Neurospora crassa OR74A: one gene and its partners. The protein of the gene in region 3 interacts with the protein of the main gene of each other region in a pairwise test. Links are inferred from orthologs where the notes say so. Each region holds a gene or a part of one and is shown on either strand. Other genes may lie near its edges.

The links.
Region 1: the proteins of NCU02425 (region 3) and NCU04098 interact in a two-hybrid assay, tested with the Saccharomyces cerevisiae proteins (2 studies listed by BioGRID). The link is inferred for Neurospora crassa OR74A from reciprocal best matches to the Saccharomyces cerevisiae genes SLM1 and GRX5.
Region 2: the proteins of NCU02425 (region 3) and NCU06086 interact in a protein complementation assay, tested with the Saccharomyces cerevisiae proteins (2 studies listed by BioGRID). The link is inferred for Neurospora crassa OR74A from reciprocal best matches to the Saccharomyces cerevisiae genes SLM1 and MAM33.

The regions. Positions count from the first base shown.
Region 1 is NC_026505.1:4,817,026-4,822,072, reverse strand, and holds NCU04098 (monothiol glutaredoxin-5), read left to right. Parts: upstream 1-2,128; 5' UTR 2,129-2,269; coding exon 2,270-2,296; intron 2,297-2,367; coding exon 2,368-2,650; intron 2,651-2,753; coding exon 2,754-2,941; 3' UTR 2,942-3,142; downstream 3,143-5,047. Other genes in the region: NCU04099 (alpha-methylacyl-CoA racemase), read right to left, coding at 1-267, 429-489; NCU04097 (ABC transporter), read right to left, coding at 3,390-4,283. UniProt on the Saccharomyces cerevisiae protein: Monothiol glutaredoxin involved in mitochondrial iron-sulfur (Fe/S) cluster transfer. Receives 2Fe/2S clusters from scaffold protein ISU1 and mediates their transfer to apoproteins, to the 4Fe/FS cluster biosynthesis machinery, or export from mitochondrion.
Region 2 is NC_026507.1:1,859,263-1,864,301, reverse strand, and holds NCU06086 (regulatory protein suaprga1), read right to left. Parts: upstream 3,212-5,039; 5' UTR 3,009-3,211; coding exon 2,659-3,008; intron 2,599-2,658; coding exon 2,124-2,598; 3' UTR 1,906-2,123; downstream 1-1,905. Other genes in the region: NCU06085 (LCCL domain-containing protein), read right to left, coding at 1-1,388; NCU17215 (hypothetical protein), read right to left, coding at 3,830-4,456. UniProt on the Saccharomyces cerevisiae protein: Not known. Binds to the sorting sequence of cytochrome b2.
Region 3 is NC_026507.1:2,534,187-2,540,532, forward strand, and holds the start of NCU02425 (PH domain-containing protein), read left to right. Parts: upstream 1-2,725; 5' UTR 2,726-3,324; coding exon 3,325-3,916; intron 3,917-3,979; coding exon 3,980-4,467; intron 4,468-4,533; coding exon 4,534-4,871; intron 4,872-4,943; coding exon 4,944-6,102; 3' UTR 6,103-6,346. UniProt on the Saccharomyces cerevisiae protein: Together with SLM2, acts as an effector of the TORC2- and calcineurin-signaling pathways. Phosphorylated and activated by TORC2 under favorable growth conditions. Mediates actin polarization via inhibition of calcineurin-dependent transcription.

The DNA of each region.
Region 1 (5,047 bases), on a different chromosome or scaffold from region 3:
GGTTGCATTCGTCGCTGCACAGGACAGAGGGGCCCAGCCCGAGCTTCTCCAGGACGCCGGGGCGGTAAGGGTCGATGAGAACGTCCGATACGGCGGCGAGGGATTTGATGAGGGCGATTCCGGAGGGGGACTTGAGGTCGACCACCAAGGAGGATTTGTGGCGGGTTAGTTGGTCGGGAACTTGGCGGGCGACGGGGCCGGAGACGGCGCGGTCGATGCGCAGGACGGAGGCGCCAGCGTCGGCGAGGAGGAGCCCGGCGAAGGGACCTGTTCCCAAGCGGGGAATTAGTTTTGTGACATTTTGTTTTTTTCCAAGTGAGAGTGAAGTGTAAGTGAAGTGTATAAGTGAGACCTCAAGATCGGCCGGGTTTCGGCCGAAAGCCTCTGTGTGTGTAAGTCGGAGGAAAAGTGAGAGATGGAGGGCTGACCTGGAGCTAGACCGGCAAACTCCAGGACCTTGAGGCCGGTAAGAGGCGGTTGGCCAACCATACTGATTCCTTCCTTAAACCTTCCAATCTTTCGATGTTCTGGAAGGTACCTCTCGAATAACTTCGGCCAGTAATCGTGCCTTTGGGAATATGAAACGGTTACACGGCAACGGACCGATCCACGCACAAACACTATTCACCCAGCCGGTTCAAGTTTCCGATTCCCCGATTATTGTTCTGTTTGCGAATGGCGCAGGTTGGTTGGAAAAAGAGACACCCAGTAAATGGCGAATGAGCTCAGGGGTCAATGTGACTGGTGGTGGTGGTGGTTAGCCTTGGTAGTATTTGTAGCAACAGCAGCAACAGCAAGGTCGACTAGAAAGGATGAAACGAAAAGGAGACATAAGAGGTATCCGACCACTTATGAGGCCGGTATTCGGGACTTTAGGGTATGGGGAACTCGGATCATGCTACGTTGGATGTGTGGGGTCATAGGATGAACGGGAACGGAGATGGTGCAGTATTGTTTTGACTCTTTCTGGTTTGTTTATGACTGTTTGCAAGACCATGCAATTGGGATATCCGACCAAGACACTGCACTAAGTGTGATTTTTTCAGTTCCCGCTGAGATTCCTCATAAGGTTACGGCTCTCCAGGACTTTTCAAAAGCTGAAGCTATCGTGATGTGCAGTAAACATCATCAGACATCCTTTTCCGCTTCTTCATCCAGAACATCTCAGTTTATTTTGGGGACATTGATCAAAAGAGCTGAACAGCAATCGAAACTCGAAAACGGCCATATGACAAAGTGGATTTGGGAGCAACATTATCGCAGTGACACGAATGCGGTGAGGTGACTACTGAAGCTCCGTCCCTTCTCCTGCTCACGTTGCCCCAGGCCTGTGAGGCGGGGTGTCTGGTGTGAGGGTGTGCTGTCACCAATTTGCACCGTGAACGCATTCCCGTTTAGCGGCTGATCGCGGCCCGCCCTGTGGGGAAGTTGGGGAGCTGGGCAGGTGGAGAGAGAGGGCTTGGTATGCGGGGTAAGGACAAGAGGAGGAGGTATGTAGACTCTCAACGTTTGTAGCTGATGCGCCAAAGTGACAAATCCCGAGGATTTGGATGACAGGAGCAGATCTGAGAAAGCTATGTTGCGGCAGTCCAAGATGCGATTGGTACCAAGCAAGCAACACATGATGCAAGTGCTTCAGTACATGGCAGTACCGAACCCACGATGTCAATACAACATACGCAAGACAGCTTCGACGACCGAAAATACATGATGTGTTGATCAATAACTCTTGACACCATAAGATCTAACGAACAACCAGCATGAAATATCATGTGCCGGGAAGGTGATGGGAAGTGTATCAGACAGTATGAGTCTGGATGGTTCAACTCCGATGGATGCGTGGATGTGCCAGACTCCGTGAGTATTACTAATTCTGACTTTCAATCGTCAAAGTCTCGAGAGCGTATTGGAAACAACAATGCCGTTATAATGAGCTGTGGGCATATGGATGATGGATGATGAGAGGAAAATGTAGATGCTTCCTCTACCTCGAAGCTGACAAATGATCCAAAGACTAAAGGTGCAAAACGGATCGCAGAGCACAACCCTAACCCTCTTTCAGGAGCTAGCGGAAAGCGCTTTACATCATCAAGGTCGGGTACATTGGAAAGCTCCAGTTAGTGGCCGCTAAAAAGTCGTGATAACGCTTCTTCCACTGCCGCTGCCGCCGACAATCGCCATCCGTCCGCATCGCTGTGAATTTTTGTCTGTCTTTGCGCCAAACATCTTGTCACTCTCTAGTAGCCAGCACCGCGCCTTACCTTTCAAAATGCTCACCCGGTCGCTTTTCTCGAGGGTAAGCGCTCCAGGTCCCGTCACCCCGCAAAGTTGTAACCGGCACTAACATCCTCCTCCTCCTGACAACAGCAACTCTTCGCCGCCGCCTCCCGGCCGGCCATTGCACCCAAGGCCGTCTCCTCCGCCTTCCGCCCCGTCCTCTTCTACCAGAACCGCTTCCTGTCCGATGCGACCCGCCAGGCCATCGACAAGGCCGTCGCCTCCGCGCCCGTCGTCCTCTTCATGAAGGGCACCCCCGAAACCCCCCAGTGCGGCTTCTCGCGCGCCAGCATCCAGGTTCTGGGTCTGCAGGGCGTTGATCCCAACAAGTTTGCTGCTTTTAACGTTTTGGAGGATGCCGAGTTGAGGCAGGGTATGTTACACAACCAGTTGGGACAAGAAAAATGGGAAAAGTAGACAAGGACAGAAATGCTGACACAAGTGGGCGTGCACCGCGCATCATCATGCATATATAGGCATCAAGGAGTACAGCGACTGGCCCACCATTCCTCAGCTTTACATCGACAAGGAGTTCGTCGGCGGTTGCGATATCATTGTCTCGATGCACCAGAACGGCGAGCTTGCCAAGCTTCTCGAAGAGAAGGATGTTTTGGTCAAGGGCGAGGAGGGTGCTGCTGAGGAGCAGACCGAGAAGAAGGAGTAAAAGAAATGAAGCGGCGGATGCGGATGCAGCTTTTGGCTATGCGTGGAGGAAATGAGTGATTCATGAAGCCATTGTACTTGTACTGATACCATTTGATAGACGATTGGGATCGCATGCCTAGACTGTACGATATGTGTTTACTCTTTGCAATACTGAAAAGCGACGTGGAAGTGCTTCTCTGGAAATTCATCAGGACATTGGGAAACCAGATAACAGCAGATGATGACATGTAAAGTACATGTGAGACAGATTCCCTCAAAAGTATCTCGACCTATACCCGTCTATGATGTGTTGAAAACGCCATGTTAAATGCCGCCTGGGTATCATGTTAAAGCTCCCTTTTCCTCATGCACACAAAGAAAACAGAAAAACACAAAACAAAACAAACCCCTCAGCCATGTTGAACTCTCTCTTCTCCTCCCCCCTCCTTTCAGTTACTGTCCCCATCTCAGTTGCAGCTAGGCCCATCCGTAGCCTGTTGATTCGTCTTCGCCTCCAACCCATAACCGCCCAAGCCCGGGCTGTTATAACTCAACCCCTCCGGTCCCCTCCTGTGCTGGCTTCTCGGCCCTCTCTCCTTCAAATCATCCCTCAACCACCTCAACACCAGCTCTCCCAGCCTACTATTTCCCGTCACGCCTTCAATCACATTCTTCCCATCCTCGACCTCCTTCAACATCTCCTCCGCCTTCCCCCACCCCTTCACAGTGCCCAAGTGCATGTGCACCAGGTGCGTCGGCCAACTGGCCAAGTTGTCCAGGATGTGCGTCGCGTACACAACCGTGCACTCTCTCGTCTCCGTCTCCCGTCTCAGCCACCCTAGAAACTGCGCCCGGGACCAGACATCCAAGTCGACGGTGATTTCGTCCAGCAACAGCACCGTCCAGGGCCGGATCAAGCCCATTGCCAGCTGCACCCTGCGGCGTTCTCCGTCCGACACGGCGTGCATTCGCCAGTTGGTGTCGATATCCAGCACCGACACCAATTCATCCCTTCTCTCGGGATAAGCATCGCCGCCCACTGACCGCAGCAGCTCAACGACACCAATGTCCGTGCGCACAATCGCGTTGAGGACCCATTCCAACCCCAAGTAGGTGACGCCCTCCAGACCTTCCTTGAACGGGTCAACGCCCGACACTTTGATGGTGTTGGCGGGCGCGAGACGCTTGCCGGCCAACAGGCGAAGCAAGGTGGTTTTGCCGGCACCGTTGGCGCCAATCAGGAGCGTGCGTGAGCGAGGCGGGAGGGAGAGGGTAATGTCCGAGACGCCGTTGGAGCGGTCGGGAAAGCTGTAGGTGAGGTTGAAGGTTTCCACTGTTGGGGGGGCTGGTTGGGAGGCCATTGTTTTTTTTTTTTTTTTTCTTGTGTGCGTGTGGCTGATGGTTCGATGAACGGGTTGGGTTGTTGGTGGAAGGTTTGTTATGTTGGCTCTCTCGAGTGAGAGATATGGTTTCTGGTTGGCTCTTTCCACTGTGTTTACCCTTAAGTTCGTGTTGTTGACAATGTGAAGGGATGTACTATGGTGTTGGTGGGAAGGGAAAAAAAAAAAATCGAACTTGATTTGGGGAGTGAGGGGGAAAATGGATGGAATGAGGGGGTGATAGCGGCAAGCGGCAAGCGGCAAATGTTGGGTGATGCGAAAAACGGAACAGTTCCCACTTGCACCTGACAGTTTAGAGAGCTCGGCGATGTTGGGCCAGAAGGTCTGTCGTTTCAATCCGCCCTCCCCCCTGGAAAGTTTTGCGGGGCGGTACCTGATGACGCAAGTACGCAACAAGGGCCGTTTTGAGTCCACATGGCGATTCAATTCTTCAACTCCAATAATGTGCGAAGAGAGAGAAAGCAGAACGTTCCCGATCAAAACACCTCTCCACCTTGGTGTCTTAGATAGGCCTATGTCTTGCGTCCGAAAACCGGGAATAGTTCCAAACACTTTTCCTCATCATGTCTCACTATTACCTACTACCGGAACAAACATCGTTCAACTTCGGCATCTGTTGCAAGGAATCCATGCAAGGAACCAGGTGGTCGGTGATTCAAATTCACTAAATATACAAACCGGAAAAATGTGAAACCACCAACACCTTCCTAAAACGGAAACCAAAG
Region 2 (5,039 bases), about 680 kb from region 3:
TCGAGGGTGAAGTTGGAGAGGGCGCCTATCCATAGGCTGCCGAGCCAGAGGAATGTTTTTTCAAAGTTTGCTGAAGGGGGAATAGCGCCGAGGGTTGTGGAGCGCGAACAGGTCCAAAACAAAACGGCCGAGGTGAAAGTTGCAGGAAGCAAGCGCTCGAATAAGATTGAGATTAGTTGGGGGAGGATGGTGTCGGAGGGGCCGGAGACATTGGGCGGGTCGGAGATGAGGCCGACGTGGACGAAGACGGCGATGAAGCTGGTGAACCAGAGGGTTGTGGCGGACGTGGTTAGGACGGATACCAGGGAGGTGAGGAGGATGGTTGGGGCTAGGGAGCGGGCTGTTTTCATTTCCATTTGGGGACATTTTCCCGGGCCAGTTAAGGCCGGATGGATGGTGAAGCCCATGGGAAAATACGAGTCGAATCCTAGACTCGAGATGCCTTCGCCTCCTTCTCCGCCGAAGAAGGAGTAGTATTCTCCTACTAGCTTGACCATACCGCACCCGCCTTTCGAATCGGAGATGACACCGGCATGCATCGCTGCTTGGCAAATGAAGGAGTCACCTCTGTATACCCTCGTCTCCGTCCCCATCCCCGTCCCCGTCCCCGTCTCCGTCTCCGTCTCCGTGCTGGCAGCAGTTAGACCACCAGCAGCAGAACCATCTCCATAATCCCCGCCACCGATTACCCAAGGCTTATAAACCACCTCCTGCCCCCCAACCCACCTCGGATTCAGCACCTGAACCTGTCTGCAATCCGCCGGGCAACGAAATGCAAAGCTGACGTTCCCAAAGGGCTTGCACCGCTCGCCGTCGACGCCGCACTCGTTGCCTGGTCCCCAAAAGGTTGAGACGCAGTCTAGGTGTCTGACTACCTCTCCTCCCTCCTCTCCATCCGCGTAGAGGAGAGTACCCTTGGACTGAACCAGGGAAACAGAAAGAATGGTGAGCCAAAGGAGTAGACCGGTAGATAACAGAGCGGCGCGCTGCCATGGATGGGAAAGGAGGCGTTCTAGTGTAAGGCGGGGAAGCGATTGGATTGACGGAAGCAGGAAAGGGGTGAGGGTTTGCCGGTGGGGGTGGGAGGAGCCAGAGAGGAAGGTGAAGAGGCGGTAGATTGGGGAAAGTCGGGATTTGGCATTAGATCTCGAGTGTTTGGTCGTCAAGAAAGGTGGCGATGATGTGTCGGTGTTGTCGTCGAATTCGAATTGCTCAATGTAGTCTTCTGTCGATAGCAGTTGGGCTTCTTCGTCTTCTGATGGTTGGTGGTCGTCGTTGGCTTGGGTCCGGGAGGAACTCGAGACAGGTAGGGGGGGATGATAGTCGTCATCGTCGTCTGTTTGGTGTACGCCGCTGTACTGGGCCTGGTGTGCGTGTTTCAGATCCATGTTGTAGTCATATCAACGGTGCTATTTAGAGGCGTTTGTAAAGGTTAGGTATTGAGTAGCGGGTTCTGACTGCGTGTCTGCAGTTTGATGGTGTTCTGAGGCAAGATGTTCACCACAATGCGAATATTGAGTTGCAGTGACTGCGTGAATTAAGGACAAAATGTACGAATGAAATGAATGTAACCGGAATCCTCGGAAACGAACGCAAAAATTGATTAGAAAGATGTCATATCACAAGCACATTCTGACAAAGTATAATGTTTCTGCAACGGAAAAAAGGTAAGACGGAGAAAGGAGATGGACAAAGTTGAAGTTCGATTCAGCTGGGCTAAAAGATCAGTGACCCCAGTTCAACCAATGGCATGACCGCTGGCTTCCAAGGCGAGCAAGGGTAGCATGGCATAGAACGAGAATGGGCAAGATTTGCCATACCACCTCATGACTTGGACCCTTTGCGGTCATATCTCTGGTGCTGTATCAACTTAAAAACTGTCTTGTCCACTTGGACGTTGGTCCTATTACAGCATCTTCATCCTTACACAACCCGTTCCCATCGGCTTCTGTTGCATTATACAAATTTTGGTATGGAGTCGTGATATCAAACGTGGGATATAATTACAGGTACATGTCATACATCAGCTGCGGAATCAAAAAGCCGTCCCGCAGCCTCGAATCCTCTCGCCTTTTCCTTGTTGGATTTTCCATTCCTCGTGACAGTATCTCATCTCTCCCCATTTATTGGGCATCGACGAAGCCCTTGAGGTTGTTGAGCCACCTGAGGTACTCCTTCTGCTCCTTCATGTCAAGGTAGTCGGGAACGAAGAGGGCAAGGGCCTGGTTGATGCCACGGTCCTCGAGGTAGCGCTCCATGAGGACCTGGAGATCCTCGTCGAGGGTACCGAAGGGAGGGCCAGGGTAGACAGCCTGGGCAGCGTGCTGGGTCTCGGCGCTCTCACCGTGAGCGAGCTTGGCGTCGTGGTAGTAGAACATGTTGTCGACAACAATGGAGCCGTCCTGGGCAACGGCGTCGATGTTGAGGGCACCCTTGCTGGGCTTCTCAATGACGATGTTGAGACGGACGGGAGCGCCGCCGTCCTCACCCATGTCCTCCTCGTTCTGGGCACCCTCCTCGTCACCGAGAGCCGTGTCCTCGTCGAACATGCCAGGCTCGTAGTTCTGGAGGTCGGCGATGGAAAAGGAGATGGTGATCCTGGCGTACCTTGGTCAGCGCATGGTTCTTGATCGAAGTCATGTTGGGGGTTCAACTTACTGCTCGTTGCCAAAGGTGCGCTTCAGGACAACGTCCTCCTTGCCGGGGGTATCGACAAGCTCAAAGGGGCCGTTCTCAAGGAAATCCTTGACGGTGGCGGGAACGGGCTCGTTGGAGGCAATGTCCTGCTCATAGCCAATCTCGGTGGAGAGCTTCTCGGAGAGCTCAGAGTCGATCTCGGTGGCGGCAGCGCGGAAGACGGTGGTCGAGAAAGCCTTCTGGGGGAGCTGGGTCCTGAGAACGTTGCTGGTAGCGCGGACGGTGGCGCGGCCGAGGGTGATGGGAGAAGCAGAGACGGCACGGAGAGCACGGGGCGCAGTGGTGCGCGCGACAGCACGAAGAGACATCATCTTGACGGATTTGGTGGGGGGTAGTTTGTTGACTGTAGATTGGAAATTCGGGTCCGATCGTGTTGTTGCGCGTTGGGACAGAGGAGTGTTGTCGAGGACGGAAGCTGGGGTAAGTGAGTGGACGAAGACTGGAGCGAGACGAAAAGATGGGTAACGTGAGTGATGGAGAAATTCGATGACAATCCACGATGGATGGTTTTGATCATTGGATCCGCTCGCTGAAAGCTCCACGAACCTGTGCCGAGAGCAGCTGAGTGGTCCCGTCTCCAGAAATCTTCAAAAGCTCTGCAGTAGCTAGCGCAAAAAAATGCCGAGCACAGACCATCCAATGAGGCCCCGGCTGCGGGGACAAGAGGCAAGAACCCCATCGATAAAGCGTAGCGCCAGCCGATAAGCTCCCACCTAGCGGAAGTTCCCCCACAATGACGCTTTGGACCCACTAAAATTTTGTCAGTCTTCAGTTGAGGTTCAGGTGCGCGTAACAACGGGCGGCCTACCTCCAGCTCCATCTTCGACTACTCACATCGCGCCCAGAGGATAATTGTTCATCAATAGCTTATTTTAGTCGACTATATACGGAACTGATGGTCTGCTTTTACGATTTGTTTCCTCAACGCCATACCACTTAACACCTTTATAAGTTCTAGCTATTCTACCAACAAGTAAAGGGTCCAGCATTCTTCTGTTCCAGGGTCCAGATCGGCTCGACTGGATCCACACTTAACAAACATGGCTGCCAGGAACCGAGTGCCTTGGATGCCTCGGATCGATACGACAAATGACATGACCAATGCCAGCAATACCCACGCGAACAATCTGATCTATATGAACCGCCCATCATATCTCCCCAAGTCTGCCCTCATCTTCCCCATCCTCCTCAACCTCCTTTCGAGATCCTGTTGTTGTCCCTGTTGCTGTTGCTCTGATACCGGTAATGCTGCCGGTCCAGGCACGTACTCCCTCCCTTGTCCTTGCAACATCATCAATGTCGTCGTCGTCGTCGTCGTCTGTCCTGATACCGAGATCCGTCTCTGCTGCTGCCCCCTGTCATAAACACCACCACTGCCACCACCCCCTCCAACTCCATGGTGATAGTTGTTATTGTTGTTGTATCCATACATGGAGTTCACACCTTGCGCTCCAATGGGTACACTAACACTAACACTGCTCCCCCTCCTCCTTGGTCCTCCGCCTGTGCTGCCACTCGAGGTGCTACTCCCACTGCCACTACTGCTTCGAGACCGGGATGCCGGGAGGGTTGCTTCGTCCTGGCATTGCCAGCACTTGTACCCCGTCTGATCTCGTTGGCCGGAAACCCCGGATAGGCAGGAGCCAAAGATGCCGCTGCCGCTGTTCCTGGCTACGGAACAGAGTTGTTCTGAAATGAGGACTGTGTCCTCGCTGCTGCACCGGCGGCACACGCGGATGTGGGTCTTGTAGGTGCACATTTGCTTCGTCTCTGGTCTTGGGTGCCGTAGTGTGTGCCCGGTCAAGTCAACCAAGATGATGATGGTCGAGAAGATGTGTGAGATTGCGAATGCTAATCAACGGTGAGATGGATGATGGGAGATAGGTATGACTGGGGAAGAGCCGGTACTCACGTTGAGATTGTTAACAAGCTTGTAAGTAGTGAGTCCAGCTTGGAAGCCCAAGTGGAATGATTCTCGTTCTTTTTTTCGAACCCACCTACACACATAATCCGGTCCGAAACCCGTCCTTGGTACAACTAACACTCGAAAGCACAGTTGGCTGAGACAAAGCCAGCGTCTAATTCTCTCCAGTGCAACAGATATGTTTAATGCGACTGCCTCGCTGATAGGTGATATAGGTCATAGACAACACCAATCGAAGTGCATGAAAGCATGGAAGATGGAAAGGGAATATAATAAAGAATGATTTAGTCTGTTTCAGACTCCAACGCTCACCCATAAAGGCTTGCCAGAGAAATAGGGGGCTGACGTACTACTTATCATTTTGGGGGAACTGCCTGGAGTTTGCCTGCGTCGGTTGTGGCTTGTCAGTTACTTTCAA
Region 3 (6,346 bases):
GGACCATTTAACATTAGAGGGTCAGGGAGCGCTACCTATTTGTACGCTACTACTGCGTACGGCCTTCCAAGAACCACGGCCCGTAACAAGCACCGCTGAGACGGCTGCAAAGTGTCAAACTTCGGCTTCGTGGGACCCGGGACCGACCACAGAACAGAAGGGAAGGGCAGCTTACATGGGCGGCGTACTGCACTTTTACATGCAAGCTATGCGAACCTGAAGATCTACGTATCATTCTGCTCTCTCAACCCCGATCTTAGAAGCTCGGCTGAGCGCCGCTACACATGGAAGTGGACATGCACACTAGGTAGGTAGGGCTGCGGGCCGTCTCGCGATTAAGAGCCCTACCGGGAGTCCAGGACAGCAGATCCTTGACAACACCACGATAAGCTCGGTGGGATTTTGCGCAGCCACTGGAGTTACAAGTGAGACTGAATTCGTCCAGGACAAATTAACAAAGACTGCAGCCGGGCTAGACTACTAAGACTATGTCATTGCCTTGAACACTAAGACGAGTTGCATGATTCCTCCAATTACTCTTATTCCTTTCATTCGTCCTCTTGGGTTATTTATGGTCCCTAATAGTCATTTAAAGCCATACAGTTTCCTTAGTGTCTTGTCAAGTTGCCGATGACATTATGTTCTGGAGTCCACGTTTATTTGTCCTAGACGAGCTACATAGATACGCCCAGTTTCACCTCATCAGGACATCCTGCAAAAGCTTATTTAATGCGAGTGTGAACGCCAGTCGGCATCCGGAGCTTTCAACGGCGTCCCTGCATTGGACTTGGTGTCTACACAGATCACGCACAAGGACGACTCTTGCATCTACCTACCGTACATATTAGTCCTGGTAAGTTCGTTAGTAGCGTGGTACTCAAACGAGGGCATTAGATAGTGGGGAAGGTAGAGGAGGCTTTGAGTGATTCTAGTAGTTTTGAGCTTGTAAAAGAGGTTTTTGTTGTGTGCAGATGTTAGTCTCTGAACAGACCCCATCTGCCTCCGTTCCCCCGCCCCACATAAAATGTGGGTCTCCTCGAACTTTGTGAAACGGGTGGGGTGGGGTAGTTTTGGAGGTTAGTGGGTCTGACTGAGACTAGCAGATGTTTAGATCTCTTCTGCTAGCTCTTTCTCTCCTTGAAAGTAGGTAGTTTTAGCCTATTAGATTGTGTGAATTGTAATGTTCTGCCTTGCAGCCATCCTTAAGTAATGTTCCCTCCCTTTGCAACCTCTCCCCCCTTTTTTTTTTTTTTTTTTTTTTTTTTTTTTTTTTTTTTTTTATAAATACTAGCACCCTACTTATTATATAGTCAGTTAAGTGTAAGAGTTACCAATTCATACTAGAACTGCTAACTGCTAGTTAGAATAATAAAGGTCAAACTTTTGCATTAACAAGGGTCAAATTTTAGAAGAATGAACACTTATACCTTCATATTGGAGCTCAGCAACCTACTTTTTTAGCCCCTTAGTATCTTCTAGTATCTTGAATACCTACTACTAGTCTATACACTAGCCTCCTATTTTGCAAATACTCTACTAATTGCAATGAATTATATTGTAATAATAGGAAACGTTACTATATTGTCCCTTTATGAGAAGTTGTGGGATGCGTAGAAGACTACCTCATAATGAACCTCTCAAGGACTAATGTTAGGGAACGGTTTGTACTAATATGCGAATAAGAAAAACAACCTTGCATCGATCGTGTTCGAATAGTACCTGCTTAGCCTTCACACGTGAGATGCCTTCAAGTTGTACGGTGATTAAACTACGTGGCTTGGCATTTCAGCACCTGCTCAGTTTGTTCCCACTGACGCAATTGGTCGTCTTTTGACCTGCCATTCCCAGACAATGATCAAATCCAGCACCTTGAGGTTTTGAATAGGGATGGGAGATATTCTTCGTTGGGCGGACGATGCAAAACCAAGGCCGCAATACGTCACCCGCCGGGCGGATACTAGTTGGTGGCACAAAGAACGGCCACCTTTGCGATTCAACGTGCACTTGATTTGCAGTAAGATTGCCCAATTTGGCAAACCTGGAGATCGTCTTGGACCTCGATCGAAACAGCAAGACCACGGGTTATGTGAAGCGCCTGGTTGCGGGTAGTTCACGGCAGATTACCTACCCAGGTTACCTCTACCTGTTAGAGCTATGTACAGTAGGACAGTGCCTGTTGTGGCCAGGCTCACCTGGCACAAGATAGCTCGACGTGGTGTTCGCTCTTGATGATGTAATGGGTCAACCATGGGCTGCTCTGGCCGTCGTGTCTATGCAAGGTCTTGTGATATGACAACTAAAACCTGTAATTTGGAACCACCAGCTCCCGTCTCGTACTGAACGGGCTCGCTCGGTTTAGCCGGACGTCTCTTTCTGCTCAGCTACCAATGTCACCTATGTACATTACAGGGGCACTAGGCTTATCTGAGTGCCAAGCCAAGATTGCGTTTCACAGAGTACTTCTAGGACTGACCTTCATTGCTTGAGGAATAATCCCAGACTGACTCCGGAGAGAAGAACGAGAACCACATCCACCAAAAAAAGGGTCAAACAATAGGTAAGCTTAAGCGCGACCTGTCTGGGAACTATGGTGTGCCATTGGGTGGGGTCACTTCATCTGAAGCTGCAACTGAACCTCCGTCGAGGCCCCGGTCCGTAATTTGCGGGGGGCGATCAACAGCTCCATCATATGCCCGGAATAGCGCACGCTACAGCAGCACAATTAGCCCAGACCCTGCCCAGCGTTCTTTGTTGCTGCCCTGCCCCCGGTGACGACGACATCATACCTGTCTCCCAGACGGCCCAAGGCACCAAATCAACATTACCACTTTCCCTGCTCGCCTTCTTCCTCTAGTTCTAAACCGCCTCGCTACCTTTACCACGAGCACCTTCCACGCGCCCACATTTCCTACTACCTCTAGTCTCGGATGCGCCGTCATTGTCTTCCCGTCCAGTCACAACCCCAGACCTAGGTAGCGGTAGCAATATCTTATTTTCAATTTCCAGTCTGGATCGCCCGACTCGGTTTGTCTACTGGTCTGGTTCCAGCCTCATCATCCAAGCATATCCAGGTTGCCATCCTCAACACCCGCGCGCGTCCATCCAGGCTCTCATTTACGCTGCCCTTCTCCAAAACCTATTGCCTATCCGTCTTCTCGTCCTCTCGTACAGCCCAAGGTCTGCCGACTAGATATCCTAGTCGACCATTCCCGCTGCCGCTACCACGACCCAACCAGCCGCTCTACTTCCCCAACTTCCGAGCCTACTCTCTGTCCTTATCCCAGTACTGGGTGAGGTGTCCTGCGGCGCGCGCCGACACTCACCATGATGACCGCTAGATCTCCAGTCGGGGCCCCCTCCCCCAACATGAACTTTGATCGCGGACACAGCTACTTTCCCGACCAGCAGCAAATTATCCATGAACAGCAGCAGCAGCAGCAGCACCCACCACCACAACAACCACAGTACTATTCCGGTGGCCCTGATGCCGAGACCGCGTCAAACACCCTGGCCAATACTCACCTGATGCAATCTCATCATGAACACATGGCCACTGCTCCTCACTTAGCCAGATTCAACGAGGAGTGGGATGCCGGTCGACGAGGAAGCTCGATCGTCGACGGCACGCGACCTCACAGCACCATGTACCGAACGAACTCGTACGCCGGTTCTGTGAATGGCCTTAACGGGGATGGGGCCGCTTCCATGTCCCGCAGCAACACTCTCAAGAAAAAAGCGTCTCTTAGACGTAGTGGGAGCCTCAAACGGAGCGGCAGTCGTCGCAGCATGAAAGCGGGGAGTGTTCGGAGTTTGGCACTTCAACAGAACTCCGACCAAGAAGGAATGAACAGTGCCTTTTACTGCCCGGTTCCGACGGCAGGCAGTCCCACCGACGTCCTTGCCAACCGTTTTCAAGGTATGAGTTCATACCTGTCTGCTAACAGAGTCCGCGCCTAACCTTCATGTTTTTGTTTCTTAGCATGGCGAAAGATTCTCAAAGACCTTATTGTCTTTTTCAAGGAGATCCAGACACACTATGAGCACCGTTCCAAATCGCTCATTAGATTGGGGAATGTACTGAATAATACGTCGACTCCCCCAGGATTTCTTTCAGATGGTGGGCTAGACGATGCCCTCCAGGTTCTGCGAAATTACAACAAGCAAGCCATTGCCGAGTCCAATAAAGCACGCGAGATTGAAGAGGATGTTATCCTAGCACTCACGGGTTTACGGAGTGACCTACATCAGAAGATCAAGGAAATCAAAAATCTCTCTGGCGATTTCAAGAACTCCGTTGACAAGGAAATGGAGGCCACTCGAAGAGCTGTGAATAGTCTTCAGGAAGTTCTTGGCAAGACCGAACTCGACCCAGCTCTGACAACAGGCAAAGAAGATCCATATCTGTTACGACTAGCGGTGGATCGCCAGCTGGAAAGGCAAATTGACGAGGAAAACTATCTGCATCAGGTACGCACTTTTCACCATGTGCCTCGTTGGGGGAGTCCTGTTCACAGCTAACTGCCGTACCCAAAGGCTTACCTGAACCTTGAGAATTCGGGACGGGAGCTCGAGTCCATTGTCGTTGGCGAGATACAAAAATCTTACAACGCTTATGCTGGTATTCTCAAGAGAGAGTCGGATGTTGCTTACAGTGCTATTGAAGAGCTTCGAATTGGCCCAGTTTCCATGCCCAAAGATACCGAATGGAACTCCTTCATTCGAAAAGATGATCAGTTCGTGGATCCGGACGTGCCCATGCGATCGGCTGAGTTCATTCACTATCCGGGCCGTGACCATCACGCTTGTCAGGAAATCCGAGCGGGTCTTTTGGAGCGCAAAAGCAAATATTTGAAAAGCTATTCGGCAGGATGGTAAGTATCCGAGCCACTAAAAGAAGCTTCTTCCCGACAGTGCAAATTCTGTTCTCTTACTAACAATAGCAGGTACGTACTATCGCCTACCCACCTACACGAGTTCAAGTCTGCCGATAAGGGACAAGGGCCGGTCATGTCGCTCTACCTTCCGGAGCAAAAGCTTGGGTCTCATTCTACCGAGGGCAGTTCGTCCAACAAGTTCATCCTTAAAGGACGCCAAACCGGAACAATGCACCGTGGCCATACGTGGGTATTCCGCGCCGAAAGCCATGATACGATGATGGCATGGTATGAGGACATCAAAATGCTCACTGAGCGGACCCCGGAAGAACGCACCAATTTCCTTCGCGGCCATGGAAGAAGCTACAGCAGGTCCTCTCAGCGGTCTTCCATTAGTAGCGATGGAGTCAATGACGACGAGGAGCCTCCCTTTTCTGCAAACGTGGCATATGTCAACCAGCCGCTGAGGCAAGACGCTCTGCCGCGACGTCCTTCAGGTGGGCGATTCCCATCTGATCTCCAGGTAAATGCACAAAAACGCTTACAGGTTCCCGTTTCCCCGCTTAGTGTGAGTTCCGGAAACGACGAGAACGGCATTGTCGATGCCACCGCGGCTACCACCACATTGCCAGACAGCGCCACAGAGAAACACGATAGAACACGGAAACCAACTCCACCGGATTGCGAGGGGCCCACTCTTACAGTACATCAGGGCGATTACACTTATGCCAACCCAAACCGGAATCAAGTTCATGGCGTGCACAACGAAATTGACGGCCAACCCCTGTCGATGCATCATACTGTTGGAAACCAAGGCGATGGTGTCATTCTCCGGGAATATGGCGAACAGACTGATGGTTGTCAAATCAGTCCCGATATGACATTACTTGCTAGACAGGACCACGATGCGGACGAGCAAAACGTTCGTCACGGCCAGCGAGGGGTAGCTTCTGATATCAGAGATATCCCAGCCTCCATGGGTGCCCTACAAGCAGTGTCCCCATTGGGGGATAAGAGAGGCATGCACAACGATATCGCATCTGCGAGTGCTCAACATCCCAGCCATACAATGCCAAGAACAGTTATGGTCGGGCAGATGGACAGTAACAGTGGTGGTGACGTTTTCCAGGATCGAACACGCCCAACTATCGGAGGAATGCGCAATGACAGCGTTCCAACCATATCCCACCTTCATATTCCTGGTGAATATCCGAAGAGCTCTTCGTAGTCTCAGCTTGCCTATACGTCTTCCGTTGATCCCAGCTGTTTATCAATCGACCTATCAAGCATGCTTGGGCGGCTTCTAGGACACATTATATTCAACGTTGACATAAAGCAATTGTGGTTGGTAGTCGTCAGTGGCTTCATCTTCGCTTTTCCTTTACTTTCGTTCTGTTTGCGCATAGGAACACTGTGATTCCACGGCTTTCTTATGTATAGGATACTCTCCTAATTGTTGTCAAGGTGGTTGT